2 linked regions of the Alligator mississippiensis genome follow. The protein of the gene in region 1 purifies or fractionates together with the protein of each later gene. This does not show direct contact. Links are inferred from orthologs where the notes say so. Each region holds a gene or a part of one and is shown in the gene's direction. Other genes may lie near its edges.

What was found.
Region 2: the proteins of PRKACB (region 1) and CDK5RAP2 purify together in Homo sapiens (affinity purification with mass spectrometry; 4 studies listed by BioGRID and IntAct, counting the BioPlex papers as one, with this or other methods). This does not show direct contact. The link is inferred for Alligator mississippiensis from reciprocal best matches to the Homo sapiens genes PRKACB and CDK5RAP2.

The regions. Positions count from the first base shown.
Region 1 is NC_081828.1:27,865,014-27,872,045, forward strand, and holds the start of PRKACB (cAMP-dependent protein kinase catalytic subunit beta), read left to right. Parts: upstream 1-3,935; 5' UTR 3,936-3,950; coding exon 3,951-4,137; intron 4,138-7,032. UniProt on the Homo sapiens protein: Mediates cAMP-dependent signaling triggered by receptor binding to GPCRs.
Region 2 is NC_081835.1:56,638,220-56,646,041, reverse strand, and holds the start of CDK5RAP2 (CDK5 regulatory subunit-associated protein 2), read left to right. Parts: upstream 1-4,786; 5' UTR 4,787-5,001; coding exon 5,002-5,054; intron 5,055-5,143; coding exon 5,144-5,211; intron 5,212-7,822. UniProt on the Homo sapiens protein: Potential regulator of CDK5 activity via its interaction with CDK5R1. Negative regulator of centriole disengagement (licensing) which maintains centriole engagement and cohesion. Involved in regulation of mitotic spindle orientation.

The DNA.
Region 1 (7,032 bases):
TTAAGTGTGTAAAACAGCCATTGGTTTTTAACTTTCTATGAAAAAGGCAAAGTTTTTTGTAGTAACTTTTATTGGACCAGCTGTATAGTTGGGAAAAATGATGGACAAGGTATCACTTTCTTAAGGTGTCACAAAAAAGGTATCACTAAAAACTCCTCGGATCAGGAGTGTCTGCTTTAATGTGCTTTCTTAGTATCAATTTCTGGAATAGAGTTGCTCTCTAGAAACTGGGGATTTATGTTTTTGCCTATGGAATTCTGAAAGGAGTTCCTGTGCACCTGTTTGACAGTCTCTGTTCAAGGATCTAGGCTGACAGTATGAGTAAAACAAGCTACACTAAGGACTGGCTAGACTCCTTATCACCAGGGATCCTGGTTTTTTTCCTCTATTAAAAAAAAAAAAATCCCCAATTTTTGGATATAAATAAGTAACCCAAAATCCACATTTTTCTGTGATTTAAAATGAAACACTACTGTATGTATGTAGAGAGAGAGAGAAAGATCTACCTTTATCTAGATGTAGCTATATATAATGGTGTTTCATTTTAATGATGGAAAAATGTGGATTTTGGTTATGGATTTTGGGTTACCTTTTTATATCCAAAAATTGGGGATTTTTTTCTTTTAAATTGGAGAAAACCAGGATCCCTGTTTATCACTTATTTCTCCTTAACAGAAAGCTGACCAGCTTCAGAGCCTCAAACCAGCCCAGAAGTCAGTGAACCTGACTTTTTTGTTGGGTAAAAAAACAAAAAAGTGCTAATGATAGTTAAAGCAGTTTAAAAACTATTCAGTTTTCTCTTCCTTCTTCATCAAGAAGCTACTTTTATCTGTCTGCTCTGTGAATTTATTAAAAATTCTTTACATAGGGCAAAGCAACAGATGTGACAAAGGAATTTAGAAGGATTCAGAGAAGGGGGAAGTATCATAGAGCCACAAAAGAAACTCAGGGTATGAAGAGATGAATGTGCTTTCACAGGAGCTGTGTGTCTAGTTTACTGTGGGACCAACCATGGTAGGAGAGAGGGCTGTTCTAGATTTTGTGGTTCAGAAGACAAGCCATGAATTGCAGCAAAAGAATCTTGTACAACCACAGACGACTGCCATGAGCATAAAATATGCTCTGAAATGGTGAGGATATTGAAGCAGAAAAATGCATACATTGTTTTCTCTAAATCTGTATTTCCTATACTACTAAGTAAAGAGCAGCGTCTTGTTAGAATCCTGTGCAAAGTGTGTGTGTGCGCATGTGAGCACACTTATGTGCTGCACTTGTCATATGCAGATAAGGTTCTTTGGGTAAATCCGATATCTTTTTTATCAGACCAACTCAAATAGCTGAAAAAATACCTAGTAAGCTATGCTATGCAAACATATGACAAGTGCCATTGTCACTTGTCATAAGCCATTGAAGTAAGCTATAAATCAGAATGTTGCACCTTTGTAGTGCATTCTGAGAAGATGTATGTTTAAATGTGGTGCCCTAGATCAGGAAATCAGGCCATGGGTCCTGGCTCTTGTGAGGTAGTGCTGGGCAAAGGGTTTGTAGCTCAAGTGTTCATTTAAATACACCAAGCCAAAGACAAGTGCCTGCACTTTGTTCAAATTCCGTAAGTTAAAGTATCAGGGTTCTGGTGGTTTGGGATCTGACTTAGCAGCCCTAATGACTTAGCATTCCCTCAGGTGAATAAGATCAATTTTCTGACACTTCTCCAAATAAATGCATGATATTTTTTGTATGTTAGAAGTTGAAAAATTTCCATTCTGTTATAGTTTAGTACTGAACCATTGTGCCGTTTATAAAATGAGGATGGGTACAGTCCAAAAACTTACATCTCTAATTATTTGAAAGCTGTACATTAAGACTTTGGGTTCCTTGCTACATGTTACATATAATTATGCTATTAACTGGTTAGTTACATAATAACTTTAGACTGGCCACATGTGCAAAGTAAGAACCTTCCCCCCCCCAACACACACACACCCACCAGCACCAAACATTATATCACAATTCATTGGTTAATAGCGCAATAATTTTAGACTAGCCACACATGCAAAGTAATTATCACATGATAAAAATGACTATCCAGCTATAAAAAGAGCCAACTGGCTATAAAGTTAGTGCTTGAAAATGTGTAATAACTATAGCTAGTTATCCAGCTTTAATTTGAATATGTTGCAGGGTCCTGGGTGAAAAATAGGAGCACATATTTAGGCACAGGTGAACTAGAAGAGGATTTTGAAGTGAGAGAATGGAAAAAATATTCAGACCATCCTCCCTAAATTAGGGGAAACTTTAGGGTATACAAATTAGGTGTGCTGGAAATTTATTTTCTAAAAATTGCCCACAGGATATGTTCTCAGTCTCTCACAAACAACTTGTCTACTTAAAGCATGCAAAAAGTGTTGTGTTAGGCAACAAAAGATAGCATATTTTCTCACATACAACTGAGAAGAATACACATATTGGCTTTGAAAGGCAAAATTAAAAGAAAAAGATTTTTTCCAGTTACATCTGCATAAGTAGAGATGGAGCTTAATCTTCAGAAGACTGAGGCATTAAGTCAGTCAACTCCCTCAGCTGCCTCAAAAGTAATGTACAGTAAAATTCCTGTTACCCTGGCATGAGTAGGGAATGCGGAGGGGAGCAGGGGGGGCCGCACATGGAGCGGCTGTAGTGCAGGGTGGGGGGTGGCGGTGGCAGCAGCCGCATGCAAGCTTTCCCCCCTGCACATGGCCGGCCGGAAATTCCAGTTAATAGTGTTCCAGTTACTCAGATGTCAGATAACAGGGATTTTACTGTAATAGCTGCTACTCTGTGGAGCAGGAATCGAAACAGGCTGCACTTATCCTAGTCAGCATATCAGCTTCCCTTCTTAATTTGTGCACCCCATTTTTGGGAGCTGATTTTGGGAAAGGAGGTGTGGATTGTATTGGAAAATACATGGTAATACATTTTAGATTTTTATCAGTTTTCTGTTTTTTGATCCTTTAAGGATTGTAGTTTCAAAAGTTATTCTACAACCTTTTATAACCTGAAAAATGAGAATTCATATAATCTCACTACTCTTGGAGCTGGAGCTCCAATATTATGAGGTAGTTTGGTGATTGGGATCTTGTGTCTATCCATTCATGTACATTGGGAGCTGGATGGGGGGAGCAATGTATCATGTATCCATTAGTAAGGCCCAGAATCCACTAGCAGCAGTCATCCAGTGTAGTTTTTTTACTCCATAAGTGACCTCATTCACAACTTGGTTTTTGCAGCAGGGTAAAACTAGAAGGTGTAAGCAGTAGCTTTGTAGAATCTTGTTCATGTGGGCAGAGGAAATGATCAGTATTTTACTTCAGTCTGGCCTTCCTAAACAAAAAGAAGAAAATGGTGCTTTTAATACATACCATCAGTTATTTTTAACACTTAGAAAATGTGAAAATGTGGACACCATAGCTTAATATAATCAATTAACTATAATATATGATTCTGGTAAGACTGCATCTTAATCCTGTGAGGGAAATGGAAAACTTGTCCTTTGTCTTTTTCCTGTAATTCATTTATTTTTAGATACATGGATAATAACCAGTTTTTTTAAATATTACCTGGTTTCTGATTTTTGTCTCTGTCATAAGGCAGACTGTATATTTTAATTATTTCATCATATTTTTAGTTTTTAAAAAAGCTGTTGAACTCCAAGTTTAAGAAAAATATTAACAGCTCTTCTAATCATCACCTTCAGCTGATAGGAAGAGGTTTTTGCTAAGAAAAGCTCCATAATGTGCAGTTTAATATTAACAGGAAGTAGAACAGAAGTAGTGGTTTCAAAACACTGCATACAGGAAGTTTGACACATGCATACTTCTTAGCTTCTGTGTAAGTTGTTCAGCTCCTTTTAGATGTTTTGTGTTGGTTTTTTTTCTGGTTTTTTTTTTAAAGTAAGTTGTCAATGTATATAGATGGCAAGTCAGAAGGAACTGGCTTGTAACCAGTGCACAGGAACAACTACAGCTCTACAGAGACTGGAAGGCTTTGCTAATCGACTTTTTCATAGGCAATCTAGGGGTGCTGTTCATGAACAGAAAGTGGCTCTGGAAGATGAGAGCCATCATTTCTCTGAATTCACTGCCTTGTGGGACAGATCAAGTAAGTGCTTTTAGACACTTGAGGTTCATTTTGCATAGTAGTATGAGGAAATTTGCAAACAAACATAAATATGCAGTATAGAAACTACCATATAATGCAGCAATCTTTTCATAGCTTAACAGTTAGAAATACTACTTTAAAGAAATAGATATTTTATCATGCAGGTGGAAACATGGCATTGTTTCAAAATATTGGGTTTTGGGGAGGAGAGTTAGTTGCTTGCAAATTCCCTTTTCTTCTAGGCAAATGTTGTTGACTTGCTGGAATTTTTTGCAAACTTTTTTTCTTTCTGGCATTTGTTTGTCATTTCTTTCTTTAAGATGTAAATTTGCAAGCAATAATTGATAGCTTTCCTGTTTTAAAAAATGTTCAGGTGTGTTTTGGTGTTTAAGGTAGGATTTTTTTTTAATTCTGAAATTTTGGAAAGGAAGGACATTATTTTATGTTGATTGGGTCATTAAGTAGAGGGACACTTGTCCCTTGTAGTGCAGCTTTATTTTTAACTGAAATTTAAAATTCATTTTAGAGTGCTTATTAAAACATTAAACATCAAAGCAGTTCAGTGATTATTATTATTACAGATTGTTTCACTCAACTTTGATTTATAACTTTGATTATTGATACTGTTATTTCATAATTGTTCATTTGTACTGAGAAAGGGGTGTATTTATCTGTGTTACATAAAATGTGCTTGATTAAAATGCACAAAACTTGATTCCAACAAACATCATCAGTTAAGTAAAAATAATGCTGCTACTTTGTACATATTTACTTAAATTATTTGTTATTAGAAATGTACATACTTATCTTTCATCCCCATATTTCTGAAGAAGTGAAGGTGAGATCTTTTAAAGATTTCATAGTCCTAGTAAATTATAATGACATAAGTCTAGCTCTTACATACTTGCTTCTATACAATACTTTTGTATATAATTAAGCATGTATATCTGCTCAATATTACTTTATTGTAAGTAATGAATCATAATCTACACATTTTATATATTGCAATATGGTCATGGCATTTAATTTCATATCTGAATTTGCAATGAGTTGGAATAACGCAAGCAGTTACTTCTATTGAAAATAACAGACATAAGCAAAATGTGTGCACTTCCTAGTATTATAAGATCTCTGCAGAAAAACATGCCTGTTGTGAAGCTAAAACGTTGTCATTAGTGAGTGGTCCAACCTTAAAGGGTGTATATTAAACATGGAAAGTGGAAGGTGTTTCATATACCTACACTAGATGCAATCTATGTTTCCTACCTGAGGTACAGAGAAAGCACCTGGTTTTATGAGACAGTCAGCCATCAAGGAGAGTAAAGGGGAAACTGCATTAGGGAAACTGCATGACTTGAGACCCCTGAAACATTTCAGCGCAGCTTTATACATAATTTGTAAACGTATTTTTTCCTTTTCACATCAATTTTAATGGGTTTCTTTAAAATGGAACTTTTCCCTCTCTGTTATTGCACATACGTGAAAGGCCTGGTTAGAGATGTATGGGGTTGGAGGTGGCTCAACAGCACTAGTTCTCAATATTTTTAGACTCAAGGTACCTCTTGGGCAATACCCTACTCTTGGCTTTTGTTTGGGTTTATTTTTGGGGGGGGGCGGGTTGACTGCAGAAAAATAACAGCAATTCTGTCGCAAAGAACTCAGACCACAATATGTCAGAATGTTTCTTATTCGAATTCTTGGGTTTATCGTGTAGATTGTGTGTAGATGTTTGCACCCTTAACAGTGCTAATACTGAGCAGCACCCCATGATATGCTTAAAAGGATCCTGTGGTATTCTGAGATTGGCTTAACCTTTTTGCACTGCAGGCCAAATGGGCAGTGCCTGGTCTGTCCACAGAGACAAGGGGACATGGCCAGCTGTGCAGAGGGCAGGGGTGTGGTCTGGCCCCTATCCAGCTGTACATGGGAGAGTGAGGGAAGGGAAGGTGGGGTGGCCCAGCCATGATCCAGCTTGATCCAAATCCTGGACAGGCTCCAGTCTGGCTGCTCATGGCTAGCCTTGCCAAATTTCCCAACCCTTGGGGAGCCTTGCAGGCCTGATGCCATGTCTGCAGACCAAGGTTGGCCTGTGGGCTGGGGGTTGAGCGCCCCTGCTCTACAGGAACCATGCTTCTATTGAGCAAGGGAAGCAGTGGGGAGACTTACGGCATTGATTCTAGCGTCTGAGTTCTCTAGGGCAGGCAGAATCCTGATATTTTTTTAGATGGAAGGATAGTCTTGTCATTAATGCAGAAAAATTGGGAATGAAAAAAGATAGGTCCATTTTGGGCTGCACCATGAATTTTACATGGGAATAACTACGTCATTTAAACACTTTCCTGCTTTCCTTGTGAGGCTTAGTTTGCTAATGTATTTGGTAGGCTCAGATGCTCTGGAGATAAGTATAAAGCCCTATCTGCTTGACAGAAGAGAAGATTTGGAGAGAGATGGTCTAGAATATAATGAAGCGTTGAGCCCTAAGATCCCTAAACATTTCTGTATCCTAGTCCACGAAATCTACATGTTTTCACACCTTGACAGGGGGTGGAGAGGAGCGGAAATACATTCAGGAGGCACAATTTAAAGTTTTCAAGAAGTTGTCCTAATGTTTACAAGACTGAAAAATACTGTAGCACTGTCCTTTGTTCAACTGTATAATAAAAACCAAAACTAAGTATTGGCCTATTGACATCTACAAACTGACCTTTTTGTATACAAGCATTTTTCTTTAATTATTTAAGGCAATCTCACTTGCATGACTTGTTTGAAGAGGAAATGGAATGTCGTGTCTGTTGATGATAAACATAGTGAAACATGCTTGTTCTTCAAGGGCTATTTTAAGTAGCAATTGTGCAAAGTGGTTGCAAGAAGCATTTCTCTCTTGGCAAAACATTT
Region 2 (7,822 bases), on another chromosome or scaffold:
GTAGGACAGATAATAGAGTTTTTCAATACAAATTGCTGCTACAAGGATTTAGTATAATCTCCTAACATGTACTGCTAATTAAGATAAGGCTAAACAATGCTAATCTGATTAGCGGAGGGCAAGTTGTTAACTACTTCAAAATGATAATTTTTTCCCCCCCCTTTACAACTCCATGGTGTTACCGCAGATTTTGTAATGCAGACATCCCAGTTACCATCATAGCTCTTATTGATCCATTTGATCGAATGCATCTTTTTGTTTGATCCAAAGGGGTTATCTCATTGTAAAATGCACATCCACCTCCATTTAGGGCAGTGCCTTTCTTAACAGTGGGCCTGTTGATTTCAGTTCAATAGCAGGGGACAGCATGTGTTGAGAGATGTTGCAGGGCGTATGCTATACTGGCTTATATCATTTAGGTAGTAAATGCTCTGCCTAGTGGCTCTGTGGCTGGCTGTCGCTACTTTAATGCCACATGACAAATATTGTACACCGTAGTTCCTTATTGTTTATGAACCATTGGGTCATGTTGGGCATCAAGATGAATGTTACTCTCTGTGACCGATCACCTTAAGAAGAAAAACAATTTCTACTGATTAGCTGATTAGTCTGGCTACCATTTAGCAGATGCAGTTTTAAAACTACCAATCAGTCCAGAAAGACTGAGACGATCAGGTCCCGTCAATACCACGAACTCTCACTAAGACTCAGACTCCAGTTGCATAGCCTTAGAAATTTCCACCTGTTCCCGGCTAAGAGATTAAGTGTTTTTACTAGTCATTACCAGGCATTTTCCATTTGGTCTGTGTTACTGTAACCCCGGCTCCATTTTGAATTTTGTACACATACCGCAGAATGAAAGGTAAGATCAAGGTAGGAAGGAGAAGCCTACAGCAGAGTTACTGGCACTCACTGGTTGGGAAACATAGGGCATCACCTGAATTTACAGGCTAGTATTTGGCGTTTAGGTGTTTCAGAAAGAGAAATTAATTCCATTTACAGAAAATGGAGTAACAGGATGAAACGGGAATCCAGAGTGATAAGGTAATAACAACAGGCAGGCTCACATACTGGTGCTGATTCCAAGCCTGTGCATTGAGGAGGTAAGCATCTTCTTGACACAGTCCAGATGGTTATGGTGAATAAGTGTAATCCAGCACTACAAACATAGAGGAGAAAATAGTCTAATAAACAGACATGGGCTGATCCTGTAGACTGGCCCTAGGCAGCCTTCTCTCAGAAAATGGGGTACATTTGTATCTTACAGACAAACTAGAGATGCATAAACTTTAATAAGCAGTAGCTTGCTTTATCAGATACTGAAATCATCTCTGTCCTTATGCTATAGGTAATGCTGCATATTATTAAACTGAAAGTATTCATTTTTTCATTGTTGACACCTGGGGGGACTCCTGCCTTGCTCCTTCGTTTAGTTGGGATGATAGAAGTCGAGTCATCAGCTTTCGCTATACGATCAGTCAAGCTAGTGGTGCAATATTTAGATTGCAAACACTGCAGGAGAATGTTTAAATCCTACCAAAAAGATTCAACTAATTCATTAAAACTATAAAAGCATGTCAGTCAAGTTTTGAAAAGCTTATAGAAGAATAACACAATCCAGCTTTGGGATCCAAAGTACCTGTTCTGCACGGTATCAGCTGAAGTAGTCAAGGGAGGTGCTGACAAATGAAAGCAACTGGCATACAGTAACACAGTCCTGCCTGTATCGTAATAGAAGACAGGAATCCTCGGACACATTAGGTCTCCAATAGAGATAACAAATATGGCTTACTGCTATGTAAACATTATTAATAAAGGTAGGACCAAGATGAGAGAAGGGATTGTCCAGCAGGTAGGATGCCAGTCTGGGCTTTAAATAACTAACTGCATTCTCCTAAGGTCTGCCCCTGACTCTTTGAGGGACCCTGGACAAATACACTGCATCCACGTTGTGAACATAAACTCGTTAAAGACTGTGAGGCATTCACTTAGCGGTGTAACAATGGCCAGGTGCCTGGGGCATTGGCCACACACGGGGGTAGTGGTGACTTCTGGTCATTGCTGCTGCAGGTGTGATCATGCGGCTGCTGTGACAGCTATTTTTTTCTGCCCCTCCTGCACTCCAACCCCATCCCCGGTCAGTGCCAGTTTCAGTTGCCCTCCTCCAGACGCCACTTTTATTTACTATGATGATGAGGCCTACATAAGTGCCTCAGATAGAAGTTTCCCCTGGACTTAATCTTGAAAAGTGTGACCCAATCACCAGCTCTGAATTCTAGAGATTAAATGTCAAACCAAACTAAGACGTGAGCCTGTGCCAGTGACTAACTCGCAAATCGTACAGCATGGCTGTCAATGCGTTGTTCCTAACGAAGGAAAAAATGAATTGGGCATACATAGAGCATTTCACGCGGTTTACATGGAAATATTGTATGGGGTTAGAATAAAATCAAGTTTGGGATACTACCCTTGTACAAGCTGATACAAATACCATTCAATGGTGAAATTATATATAATGTTAAAATATGGCATTTCATAATGGATTGTCACTTTATTTTTAAGATAAAATGATCCATTTGCAGAAATGTAGCGTGGATGTTTCTGGAGTGGATCATCTTAAAAACAGGCTCTTACCTGAATACAGTTGAAGGGTATATATTTCCTAGCTGCTTGAAAGCAGCAGTAATGGAAATTGCACACACATATTGAGGAAAGAGAACACCCCTAGGGCGATAAAACTCGATCTAACAATACACTGCATGGTTAAGTATACTACTCTGGCAAAATACCAATTCTTTTGTAGCTTTCATCTCGGCATTGAGCAAGCTTATGCATTTAATAAACTTATTTCAGGTGGTATTTTCAAGGTTGATTTGTTATGATGGACAGGATTCTTGGTTTTAGATCCCTGAATTATACATTTTGCTTTTAAAATAACAAGAAACTTAAATCGTGAGACTAATTCTATCCATCATACCTGCTTACCTACCTATTTATCGGTAAATGCATATTCCAGATCACTAGTACTTGAGCACCTGCTGTTACACATTTTATTTGAGCAGACAATACACTTTCTCACAGGCTCCCAAGCAGAGATGAAGTAGTGTTAGAGCAGGGGAAAGGCTCCCCATGGCTTCATGCTGTTTGCATTCATTCCCTTCCAAACCCATGTCCTGTATTTCAAGGGAGTCAAAGGACAGGCCCTAATTCTTCTTTTGTTGGCAGGCTCTGTTTGACACACACACAGGCCTGCATAAGCTTGACCCCGCAGTTAAATGCATGGGTTAGTGCAATGTGGATGGCCATGCCCGTAACCCAAGGAAGATGCAGTGTGTCCAGATGAACCAATGCAGCTGGGCTGTGGGTGGGAGCTGGGGCTCTGCTGGTCAGAGGTGCTGTCCCGCACCCCACCAATTCCATTCACTTCTGCCAATCTTGGTGCTCGAGGCCTTTGAAAGTCAGGCCCTGTGCCGCCCACTCTTAGAAGCAGGCATTCACCCAATAGCCTCAAAAAATGGCCAGCTGTTGCTAAGCCAACCTAATGTGGCCACCATTCCCAAACCCGGGGCTGGCCAATCTGCCACACTTATGCCACAAGTGGCAGAGGCATCCCATGTGCAGGGCACCTGGCTAGGAGTTGCCAGCCCTGGAGTCTCCAGGATTGAGATATAATCTTCAGGAGACGGCTGAGAGTCACCCAGGAGATAAATGATAGAGCATTCATTAAAATAGATATTAAATGTCAAATCCAATTTATACTGCAGTCCCGTGGGTTTTTACAGTTTTAAAAAGTAATAGTAACATACATTTGTTTTCCTGAGTACAGTAGATCAATCATTCATGTCTCTGCATCGTGTGATGAAACCTCCTGCGATAGATTCAGACAGAGCTGGAAACCCTGCACCTGGCAGATGGAAAGGGAGCAGGGAGCAGAAAGCAGAGCAGCAGATCGGGAAAGGCCCACGGGGAAGGAAGCAGAAAGCAGAGCAGCAGATCAGGAAGGGCGGACAGGGAAGGAAGCAGAAAGTAGAGCAGCAGATCGGGAAGGGCGGACAGGGAAGGAAACAGAAAGCAGAGCAGCAGATCGGAAAGGGCGGACAGGGAAGGAAGCAGAAAGCAGAGCAGCAGATTGGGAAGGGCGGACAGGGAAGGAAGCAGAAAGCAGAGCAGCAGATCAGGAAGGGCGGACAGGGAAGGAAACAGAAAGCAGAGCAGCAGATCGGGAAGGAAGCAGAAAGCAGAGCAGCAGATCGGGAAGGGCGGACAGGGAAGGAAACAGAAAGCAGAGCAGCAGATCGGGAAGGGCGGACAGGGAAGGAAACAGAAAGCAGAGCAGCAGATCGGGAAGGGCGGACAGGGAAGGAAGTAGAAAGCAGAGCAGTGGATCAGGCACGGGAAAGGGAAGGGAGTGGCACTGGGGGGACAGCCTGCGGCAACTGGTAGCCCCTGGTGACCTAGAGGATCCCTGAGGGCACCGCCTGGTGATCTGACACAGCCCCCTAATTATATCCACTTTATCCGCAAAGATGCCCTGTACCTTCTCCCCGAACTGCGCACCACGGGGCCCTAAATAAAGATGGCGGCGCCCACACACATGTTCTTGTCCTAACGACGCAACACAATGCCCTTAGTAAAGATGGCACCTTCTTAACCAGCTTCTATTGCAAACTGACGGCTGCTCAGACTCCCCGCCTTCCTTCCCTCACTCAAGATGGCAGCTGCCCACACTCAACTCCTACCCCGCTCACAGCCCAGTTGGCATTGTCCACCCCCGTCTGCCCTCAGTTAAGAGGGCGTCCGCGCGCGCTTCCGCAGGCGGCTCCCTCAGCAAAGATGGCGGCTTTCCCCATAGATGTCTACGGTGCCCTGGTGCCAGGCCCTCCTGGGGCGGCTTCAACGGCTTCACGGTCAGGGCCACAAGATGGCGGAAGCAGCTGCAGCCGTTTGAATTCCAGCGGAGCCGCCAAACTCGCACAATAATAACCGGGTACCGCCGCCGCCATGGACTCGCTGCCGGGGGACGACCCTACGCTGCCCCTGGACTTGGGCGGCAGGTAGGAGCTTAACCGCGGTGTCACCCCCTCCTCCCCGCGTGGCGCCGCGTCCCGCCGCCCGCGCTGACCCGCATCTCTTTCTCCCTCAGCGTCAACGTGGCCGACCTGCCCGACGTGCCCGGGGATGCGGCCCGGCCCGGCTCGGCCGGCAGCGCAGGTGAGCGGGGGCTGCCCGGACACCCCCGGGAAAGTTGGCGCGGTTCCCGCGGGCCCGCCCTGCCGCACACACGTGCACTTGACGCGCGATAGAAACCCGCGCGGGCGCTTTGTGTGCGACCCCGCAGCGGGTCGGCTCTTCTCTTTAAAACTGGTCCCTCATTTGTTTTCATCTCCTGCCACCATGACTTTGTGCGGGTGGCCGGGGTGCATTTATGGCACTGAATGGCGTGGCAGATGCTTTGTGCGGGCGACGGGTTTATTGTGCGATTCACCAGTGATGTGCACGAGGGCGCCTTTGCGCGATGCATGTATTGCATGTTTATTGCCTGGTTCCCCAGTGAAGTGTGTGATAATTATTTTGCACGGGAGGCAGGGGCACATATATGGCACGGTTTGACAGTCAGTTGTACGATTACGTTGCACGGATGGCTGGTCTACATTTATGGCGTGATTCAACCGTGATTTGTGTAATAGTTTCTTTGCATGGGTGGCTGGTGTACATGGCTTGCACAGTTCATCAGTGGATTACACAATAATTACTTGTTATGTATAGTATGTTTGTGTTTCACCAGTGAGTTGCGTGGTGATTGCTTTGCATAGGTGACCGGTATACACTTATAGCGTGTTTCACCAGTGAGTTGCATGGTGATTGCTTTGCATAGGTGACCGGTATACACTTATAATGTGTTTCACCAATGACTTCCACGGTAATTACTTGCATGCTTGGCCAGTGTACATTTATAATGCTTTCATCAGTGGGTTGAGCAATGTAGGCAATGTGTAGCAGGGGTTTAACATTCATAGCTGACCGCTGATTTTTCTTTTTCATCTAAATTGCAACTTGTTTCGGTGCTCTGTTTGAAACCCAAACCTGGGGAGACTCTGAAAGTGAAACTGCCCACCCACCCGAGTGCCACTGAATGCATTAGCCTAGCGGGGAGGAAAGGCGCAAGCTTAATGAAGCACCTGGATGCTCACGAGTTAGAGGGTTTTTACATTGTTTCCTAGGCAAAGAAATCTCTATTTATGGTGCACATGTGCGTTTGCCTACTTCTCTGGCCTGCCCCAATGGCTGGGAAGCAGCAGAGAAGACTTGCTATTTCTGTAACAATTTGGGGGCCTTCTTAAATCCAGCCTGCTCTCTGTTATCAGCAGAAGTTATGCATCTCGTAGAAAACCATAACCAGTGGCAAGGAATTGTCACTCAGATTACAAGGCACTATTTACCAAACAGATAACGTGATGATGGTGATGATCCCTTTTCTAAAAAGCCAGAAAACCTTCTAAACTCGAGCTACTCCTGCAGATACTAGTATTAGTCCAAAACATTTATGTTTCCGTTGCCATTAAGATCCTGAGGACCAGGCTCTGAACTGCTTGGACTAACTAGCACTATTGATGGTTCACTCTTAGTAATTTTTTTTTTAGAAAAATGGCATTAAAGTTTCATGCAGGGCTTTCCAGCTGCAGCCTAGTTAGGTTGTGAGAGTTTTGCTTTCTGTTGTGGCTGAGTCAGCACCTGCTCCATGTTCCTTTCTAAAGGGAAAAGAAAGTCTTTCCATAAAGTTTTACTGCCCTGTATTGATCAAGGACAATAATTTATCATCTTTTGCTTTATTGTGACCTTGTGGTGGCTGCCAAGTTCGTCTTATTGCAGGTTTTAGAGAAAATATAGCCTGATACATTGCTTTTGAAGCAAAATGGATGTATCCTATTATTTTGTGAAGTGCTGTTTGCACAGTTATAACAATTGTGTGCGTCTTGGACCATATTTCTGGTCCATGCGATTTGGAGGCTGGTCTGGCCACTGTGTATTTGTGCAGTTAACTAAAGTGTGTTGTAGATGTAATTTCAAATAGCTACTGCTGCTCCATTATTAAAGCAATTTATGTATACTTATCCTGGGAGCATATTAAGGTTATGAAACAAAAATACATTCTGAAAAACATGCTTGAATGGCAATATAGCTGTGGCTGTATTCTCTTAGTTGTTTTAAGAATGATGTCTCATTAGATTAATCACAACTTCAGGATTTTAAGATCTCAAAAGCGAGCATTTCCAGGGGTTTTTCAGACTGTTGTGCATATATAACTGTGTATGTAGAATTATTCCAAGTTGGAAGATACTTATTTTTTCTTTTAGTAGCCACAAGGCTGAATCTAGGACCTCAGTCCTTTCTGTGGTCTCTGAGTTCTACCTTTTCTCCTTGGGTTTATTTATTTTAAGATGCTACATTTTGTGTGTTGTTTTGATTTGTTTTAAGCATTTTTCTAGAACTAATTCCCCCCGGCCCAACCTGTTGTTTTTAAGATTTTATGCAGAAAAACCTTGGATGCAAATGCTGCACTTTGTAATATTGACTTGCAGAATTGGCTATGTGGAAATGGCACGTTTTTTAGTAGCGAGTTACCCATTGTTTGTCTATGGGTATTTCTTTGCTTCATTTTCCAGCATGCAAATGTTGCACTGGTGAATCCCCTTGGCATCTGCTGCTTTGAATGGGTGTTACAGGTATAACTGGGACGTCTGACCCAGGGGTGTGCATAGGTAAGCTAATGCAACCAAAACTTAGCTACAAAGCCTGTAGCTAAGATGAAATGGATTAATGC